2 linked regions of the Danio rerio genome follow. Each later gene encodes a partner of the first gene's protein in a complex. Links are inferred from orthologs where the notes say so. Each region holds a gene or a part of one and is shown on either strand. Other genes may lie near its edges.

What was found.
Region 2: the proteins of pawr (region 1) and spsb1 are in contact, whole or in part, in a crystal structure (PDB 2JK9), measured with the Homo sapiens proteins. The link is inferred for Danio rerio from reciprocal best matches to the Homo sapiens genes PAWR and SPSB1. Residues at the interface, in NP_001341661.1 of Homo sapiens: Glu68, Leu69, Asn70, Asn71, Asn72, Leu73, Pro74; in NP_079382.2 of Homo sapiens: Arg77, His78, Pro79, Val80, Ala81, Gln82, Gly110, Thr111, Tyr129, Val216, Trp217, Gly218.

Annotation. Positions count from the first base shown.
Region 1 is NC_133179.1:22,060,608-22,064,972, reverse strand, and holds the start of pawr (PRKC apoptosis WT1 regulator protein), read left to right. Parts: upstream 1-1,277; 5' UTR 1,278-1,541; coding exon 1,542-2,012; intron 2,013-4,365. UniProt on the Homo sapiens protein: Pro-apoptotic protein capable of selectively inducing apoptosis in cancer cells, sensitizing the cells to diverse apoptotic stimuli and causing regression of tumors in animal models.
Region 2 is NC_133198.1:25,434,531-25,438,675, forward strand, and holds the end of spsb1 (SPRY domain-containing SOCS box protein 1), read right to left. Parts: intron 2,102-4,145; coding exon 1,974-2,101; 3' UTR 704-1,973; downstream 1-703. UniProt on the Homo sapiens protein: Substrate recognition component of a SCF-like ECS (Elongin BC-CUL2/5-SOCS-box protein) E3 ubiquitin-protein ligase complex which mediates the ubiquitination and subsequent proteasomal degradation of target proteins.

The DNA.
Region 1 (4,365 bases):
GATTTGATGGCTTGACAGAGATTGTGAAAGTCAGATGCGTGACTCTGTGTGCACTTCTGTTATCTAACACTCTGAGGTTTATCATCTGTGAGAGTCTTGAGGTCACAAACAGCCAAAGTCTGTGAAACAAGTGACTCATGCTCTCACAGGACCTGTGGGAGAACAGGCAGATTCATCTCTCATACACATTGTCTGATGTCTCAGCACCGGAGAAATATCTATCTATCTATCTATCTATCTATCTATCTATCTATCTATCTATCTATCTATCTATCTATCTATCTATCTATCTATCTATCTATCTGTCTGTCTGTCTGTCTGTCTGTCTGTCTGTCTGTCTGTCTGTCTGTCTGTCTGTCTGTCTGTCTGTCTGTCTGTCTGTCTGTCCTTATTTACAGTCCATTCATTCATCTATCCATTCATTACAAAGATGCTAAATGCTAAAGTGCTACTAAACAAATACTGACACAACCACATGGTTAGGCAAGTTTTTTTTTTTTTTAATTAAGCACAGAAACATGGCATTATCATGTTACCATTTTAAATCTGTGCATTTTTACCACCTTAGTTCCCAATTTGTATCTATCTGTCATGTCCATCCTTCCATTAAATAGTTTTAAAATGCTTAAGTGTCAGTAGCAGTAGCTTTTTATGGTCATTTATAGATGTATAGATGCCTTCAAGCATGCAATTACTAAAAAAGGATTCACTAGCCTATGCTAGATTTTAATGGTATTATCAATGACATGTCAACAAACATATTACCACTTTTATATATTTGTAACTAAAATATAAAACATATTCAGATGCTTATTCTATCTATCTATCTATCTATCTATCTATCTATCTATCTATCTATCTATCTATCTATCTATCTATCTATCTATCTATCTATCTATCTATCTATCTATCTGTCTGTCTGTCTGTCTGTCTGTCTGTCTGTCTGTCTGTCTGTCTGTCTGTCTGTCTGTCTGTCTGTCTGTCTGTCTGTCTGTTAAACAAATAATATCATATATCTCATTACCTATTTCATTAACACTGTAGCAATAATATAATATAATATAATATAATATAATATAATATAATATAATATAATATAATATAATATAATATAATATAATATAATATAATATAATATAATATAATCCTAAAAAAAGTTTGCCTAGCAGCATCAGCTCGCTATCAAAAGGCTGTCGGCTGTTTCCGTTAATTTACGTAAGCTTTCGGAAACGGGGGCAGGACTCGGCGTTTGAGCGCGCCTGCAACTAATCCAGTTCATTCCACCAGTTCACCTGAACTCTTGACGACTGTTCCTGCGCGCGCAGGTGAGCTTTACCGGACACTTTCCTTCAAAACAATACTTTTCTGACAGCTTTACGCTGCTCTGAAGCGACTTCATCGCAGTTTTGGACAACTTTAAAGTCTTTGTGATTATTTTGAAAGACTTCTGAGGAATGTCGCGGATCTGAACAAAAAAGTGCGTGTACTCTTGTCTGTGTTTACAAAGTGATTCACACGAGACGTTTGCGAGAAAGCAAATCATGGCAACAGGAGGATTTAAATCTAACAGCGCGACAGACTTTCTGGAGGAATGGAAAGCAAAGCGTGAAAAGATGAGAGCAAAGATGCTTGGAGATATCGCCGCCGCCACCGGCAGAACCACGGAGTTAAACAACAACGGCAGCAGCTCGGTGAACTGCGTCTCCTCTGCGCCCTCTTATCCGGTGGCTCGGTCCTCCTCTTCATCCGCTCTGAAGGACGAGCCCAAGACATCCGAGCCGCCCGGGGGAAACTTGAAGAAGACGCCGGAGAAAGTGAGCGCAGTCCCGCAGGCGGATAGCCCGAGCCCCGCCGGTGTGGATGACAGTGATAAGGAGAGTCCCACACACAGCAAGAGCAAAGAGAAGAAGAGCTCGGGACCCAGCGCCAGAAAGGGCAAAGGACAGATCGAGAAGAGGAAGTTAAGAGAGAAGAGGAGGTCAACAGGTGTTGTCAGCATACCGTCCAACGAGGTCAGTTCACTTGCTTTAAAGTTTACCTTTTCACCAAGGCAATAGCAGAAGCCTACTAAAATGCTGCTTATTACAACAGCTGTCATAGACATTGTTTTTAATGGTTGCTACACTTTCAAAACAAAATAATAACATGGTGCTTGTTTAAGTTGTTTCCAGATCTAGACATTTTATAGATTGTGTAAAACATGCATTTTAACAAATATACATTGCACAAAAAGTGTAAATACCTTCTGTTCTATTAATCTTTTTATATATTAATAGTGAGCCCTGCTATACATGAAGCTTTATTTACATGCCTTTAAAACATGCCATTATGCTAGTTTTCAAATGGTGTTACCAATGGCGTAATGTCAACAAACAAAGTACTGCTTTATATTTTGTAACTAGAATTAAAAGCATGTTTTTACCATTTTAACCATGGCAAGGTAAACAATAATCAGGTGCTTATTTACGTCATCTATCTATCTATCTATCTATCTATCTATCTATCTATCTATCTATCTATCTATCTATCTATCTATCTGTCTGTCTGTCTGTCTGTCTGTCTGTCTGTCTGTCTGTCTGTCTGTCTGTCTGTCTGTCTTTCTGTCTGTTCTTGGTAATTAATACTTGCTTAGGATACTTTGATGTAAACTTTGGTACTGAATAATAGAAGTAAAGTTGTTCTTTTATTCGCAAATTCAGACTTTCTCCTTAATAATATAATTTTATGAAATTTTTATTTGTAAACTCTAAATAGCAAAATCATATTAGCAGCTAGTGACTATCAAAGTACAACATTGTTCACAGTCAAATAAACTGTGTAAATGTTGTTTTCAAGTCATACTTGCAAGGTTATTTTAGACCAAATATTCAAAGTGCCATAGTAAACAATGTAGGGAGTGTGTCACAAGTGGATGAATGTGTGAATATAAAGCCTCTGTTACTGAAAATATTAATATGCAATGTATTTGCATGCTCTTCGAAGAATGCAATGTTGTTACCATCATGTTAGTTTAAAAAGAAGCCGCATTGTCTTAGTATATAATGTGCCATATTTACGTGTACAGTAAGGAATACAAGATAAAACCATCATGCCTCTTTTTATTGGCTGCATGAATTTGCCAAAAGTATGATAAGAACAACAACAAAAATAAACACAGAAATCATATTATTGTCATGGCGAAGGCCCATATCCTGAGTTGCAACCATATTTGCTTACTGAAAGTGTTCTAAATATGTTTAGTAACTAAAGTATACAAGCTTGCTTGCATTATTACAGCCATATTTGCAATCTTACGTCTACTAACCATCCTACGTGCCTAAAACAAATCATAATCAGTGTCCAAATACCACAGAACTTTTTTTTTTTCTAAGTAATTTGTTGGTAATTTTGTCTAAAACTGACATTATTACAACCAGATTTGCTTATCTAGGCTCAACTCTGGCCAATTTATATAACTTAACTGTGAAGTCCATCGTTAAATGTCACTTAATGAGTGAACTCGCATACCTACATTATGTAATCTTGGTGAAATATCTGTTTAATGCATGTTCTCCTCCAAACAACACTCCTATAAATCAAGACTAGAAGGCAACAAGTCTGATGACTAACAGATTGGGATCACATTATACATATTTTCTCCATTTCATGATTTATAATGACTGTGAGTTGCTGAGTTACGTTGTAGATCATGGGATGGAGCTGATGGAGAACACGGTACGGCTGTTCCTCTAGTTAAAAACACTTCATTAGCAGATCGGTTCACCATAACAATTAGCCTCCAAATCTGTCACCGTTATCTCTCACCTTTCAACCCGTCACATTCCCCTGCATGAGCAGTGGGAGGCTTGTTAGTGCATATGCCAATGTGAATGTCTACCACCCAGCTCCACTGCCCTGCGGATAGTTGCTGTTGGAGGCTGACCAGTATGTCTGCTTTGGCTGGAGATATCCTGTCATTAGCCCCTCGCACTGTGCCAAGGTAAAGTAGTTTGGGAAGTAGGGGGCAGGCCAAGACTTAATGTTAGGGTGTCTTTGAGAGCAAGTATACACACTCATGCCCCAGTGTCTCTCTGCACGAATGTAGAGCTGGGTAAATAGTTTATTGTTTTGACATTATTCTGTCTGGAGCTGAAGTTATTATAAGTGAGGGAGGGCATACTAGTGTAAAGATGGTTAACGGCTATGACATCCTGTCTAAATGTGTTGAACTTAAGGGTCCCATCACCTGAAACTGTGATGTCCAGCAGTATATCTCACACCTTTTGGACATATCAAGCAGGTTTAGTGTCTGCTTGATTTAGTGAGAATGTGCCAAATATCCTTCCTTAACCAGCTTTGAGAAAGGATATGCGGTAAAGCAGACAT
Region 2 (4,145 bases), on another chromosome or scaffold:
AAAGGACATTTTGAATATACAGTTGAAGCCAGAAATATTAGCCTCCCTATTTATTTTTTCCTCCATATTCAGTTTAACGAACTGAAGATTCAACACATTTCTAAACAATAGTTTTAATAACTAATTTCTAATAACGGATTAATTTTTATCTTTGCCATGATGACAGTAAACAATTTTACCAGATATTTTTCAAGACACTTGTATACAGCTTAAAGTGACATTAAAAGGCTTAACTAGGTTCATTAGCTTAACTAGGCAGGTTAGGGTAATAAGGCAAGTTATTGTATAAATGTTTTTTTTTTTTTGTAGACAATCGAAAAAAATATATACCTTAAAGGGGCTAATAATTTTGACCTTAAAATAGTTTTAAAAAAAAATTATAACTGCTTTTATTCTAGTCAAAATATTACAAGACTTTCTCCAGAATATTAAATATTATCAGACAAACTGTGAAAATGGCCTTGCTCTGTAAAACATCATTTGGGAAATATTTTAAAAAGAAAAATTAAATCAAAGGGGGGCTAATAATTCTGATGTCAACTATATGAATTACCTTTAAATGTTACACAAGCAAATTAAATAACAAACCAAAAGTGTTTTAAATTATAATAAACTTTATTAGATAGTTACCAATATTATCTACATCACTTAATACAAAGAGAATGGTGGTCTCCAGGCAGAAAGGGTTTAAAAACAGGCAACCAAACTATCCCCCTCATGCTTAGCAAAATGGCTGCCAAACATGAACTAGATTAACACATCTAAAAATACTAGAATAGGGAGGGGGGAAAAAAACACAGAAAAACAACAATTGGCAATCTTACCTTCTCAGCATCAAGACTTAAGAAATAGAGCATCAACATTTGCCCACGTTTCACTCATTAACTCATAGACAAGGCACCACACAGCAGTGTCACTACTCCATTCCTGCTTTCCCCAAATCATCAACAGATTAAAACAGTCCTCAAGATAAAAACTAAATTGCCAATGTGGGTGTTCACAGGATTTAGGGGCCATTACACAAAGCAAGCTGTACAACCTCTTATTGATCAACGTATGCTACATAGGTTCACAGTGATGACATCTTTCATTCATTATAAAAAGGACTTCAAATCATGGCTCTCTCCTAATGTATCAGTATTTTGAGCCAGGCACTTTCTGATATTGCAGTGTGAATAGAGGCGAGGGACCCGTTGAGTGGTTTTAAAGAGCTAGCATAGCACACTAGCAGTGGCCGTTTCCATGAATGCTAGCCTCTAAACTCCCCCCCTCTCACAGACGTCAACGACTGTTTTTCCAGGCCAGACGGTCAGACTTACAGCTAAAACCAGGCTATTTTTAACCTGCCAAGAGTGTGCAGGGGGAGACCTCGCCTTCCATTAGCTAAAATGCTAACCGCTGCTACTGATCTGAAGTGGACTCAGCTACTACAGTATACTGACTGCAATGGGATAATTTAAAAAGCGCAATATATAAAAAGTCAATATTAACTTAAAAACTTGGTTGTTAAGTTTAACGGTCTTGAGATGGAATTTGTTTTGCATTGGCCACAAAGAGTTGCCTTGTGGACCCACAAGCTAATGACATGATACAAGAAAGCTTAAGGTATGCCAATACATCATTAAAAAAGGGGATGGAGTAAAAAAAAAAAAAATCATAAAAAGTAAAAAGGCCTTTAACAGCTGAAGTTACCAAGCCATGATTAGAGAGAAGAAGGGTTCTTGTTTTCAAATCTGCCACAGGATTCTGGCCTAAGCCTCCGGTTTGATTTCCAGTACATGAGTGAAGCAAAAGACGAATCCATGCTTGATCCTGAAAGCATCAAGCATGAGGTGTCCTTGGTTGGATTTGTAAAAACAGTATCGTTGGTACCAAGAACTATGATGAAACAGGCTTGCCAGAAAGACTATTTATCCCAGAGAGAATCCGAGGCAGTTGCTATGCCTTGAATGCTTGTAAAGGCACTACTATCATCATTGGTAGAGTAGATAGTTCTTTAGGGAGGCTGGTAAGGGCAGTCCATGGATTTCACTCAGTCGTTCTCTTCCCAATGCCACCCGTACAGAGCGCCTACAGAGGTCCATTAATGGCAGAGGTTCAGCTACAGGGAGACAGAGAAAAGACAGAAATTAAAAATTATAGCTCACAAGTATGGCAGAAACTTTAAGATCTGGGCATAGGCTGTTTTTTTTGTTGTTGTTGTTTTTTTCCCAGTCAGCACGTTTTAGCGATCACAATCAGAGATCCTCATTTACCCAAAACAGACACAGTGCAAGTCCATGACTGTGCAAGCGTTAAAAATGATTTGAGTCTATTGTGGTTGTATAATGGTATATAATGACCAATTAGGGCAAGGCAATTTGGCCTAAAATCAAGATTAATTTAAAATTAACTATTACAATTAATGAACGATTTTTATTGTTTTTTGGCCTCATAGTTCACTGACAGGTTTTGTACAGTAAATATGCTCTCATATTACAAGCAAGAGATTATTGCTTAAAGGGTACATTTCTTGATTTTGAAAATAATTAAAGGAAACTCACCATCTGATTATTTTTTGAACAACTAAAATTAACACACACTGGCTTGTTATTTGACGAGGCATGACTGTGACTATGACTGGGCAACTAATAGAAATGAAAACATTGAGAAAAGCTGAAATCTTTCAATACAGTAGGAATTCGTGGATTTCTATGCCGTGCAATATTGAAGAAAATGTCAATACATTATTCTAATACATTATTAGAAAGATTTGATTCATTATAATGGCACCAATGCACTTTGGTTCACTCTCTGTATGAAGCAAGTAGCACACCAGGGGCCTCATGCATCAACGCTGCGTACACACAAAACTTTGCGTACGCCAGGTTTCACGCTCAGAATCACTCATGTTTGGATTTATTAACGATGAAATTAATGTGGGAATGTGTGCAGCTCCACGCCAACTTCATGGCTGGCGTACGCACATTTTTTTGTGCGTGTCTTCTCAGCTGTATGAGAAGAGTTCATCCGCATGTCTAGTATACAAGGTTTCCGTACCATACAGTTGACCATCCAAACATTAAAGCACAATTTGCAGCGGTCGCCAGTTTTCCCCAATGTAATCGTAGCTATCTACTGCACGCACATTGCTATAAAGGCAACATCTGAGGATGAACTTGCATACGTGAATCAGAAACATTTCCATGCAATAAATGTGCAAATAAAATATGATGCAGACTTATTAATCATTCCTACTTGTCTTTCTCATGATGATGAAGAGTATAGGCAAAATCTGATATGTAGCGGAAAAAAAAAAAAAAAAAGAGAAAGTTTCAGACGCTTGATTCGAACAGAGTTCATGCCTGAACGTGTGAAAACATATTGACACGCATTTAACGAGCTGCACCACTCAGGCTGTTAAAGACACTACAAAATTTTACATCTTTACGTCGCACTATATCTTTTTTAATTCACTCAGTGCGATGCTCAGACCTAACTGTGTTAACTGCATCAGCTAAACTCTCCCACTCAATTTTTTTTCTTTTGTTATTAATTCCGGAGGACAAACTTGCAAGTAAAATCGTTTTTCTCCGGTCTACCTCCGAAAGCAGCACCTCCAGTTCACATTCTGTTTAAAGTTTCTCTTTTGGCTTGCTTTTGCCATTGCTTTTTCGTTGGGTTTTGCCAAAGTAGAGTCATTAGCATATTCATACGGGGGAGGAGGCAGGGAGGGGTTTTGCGCTCGTGCATGTTGCACTCAGTTTCACATACATTCAGATGTACAAAGAATATGCGTGGGATTCGGCGTACACAGCGTTTCATACATCTGAATTTTTTTCAGCGTACGCACATCTACAACTTTGTGCGTACGCAATGTTTTAGTATGATTTCCACGCAAGTCTTCGTACAGCTTACTGCATGTGAACAACTGATTAGCTGACAATAATTGAATCAAGATTAATCCATTGGAGTAGAAACTGTGGCCAAAATAAAAATCATCACACAGTGCGCACCTGGCCTAAAAGGATCACAAGTTTCCCCGAAGGTCCTCTTTAGTCCAGCCATATAACAACCTCAACTACTTTGGATTTCAGAATGGTTTCCACACAGCACCACCTGCTCGGATGTTGAGATTACTTCATAAATGCACACTTCTGCAAACG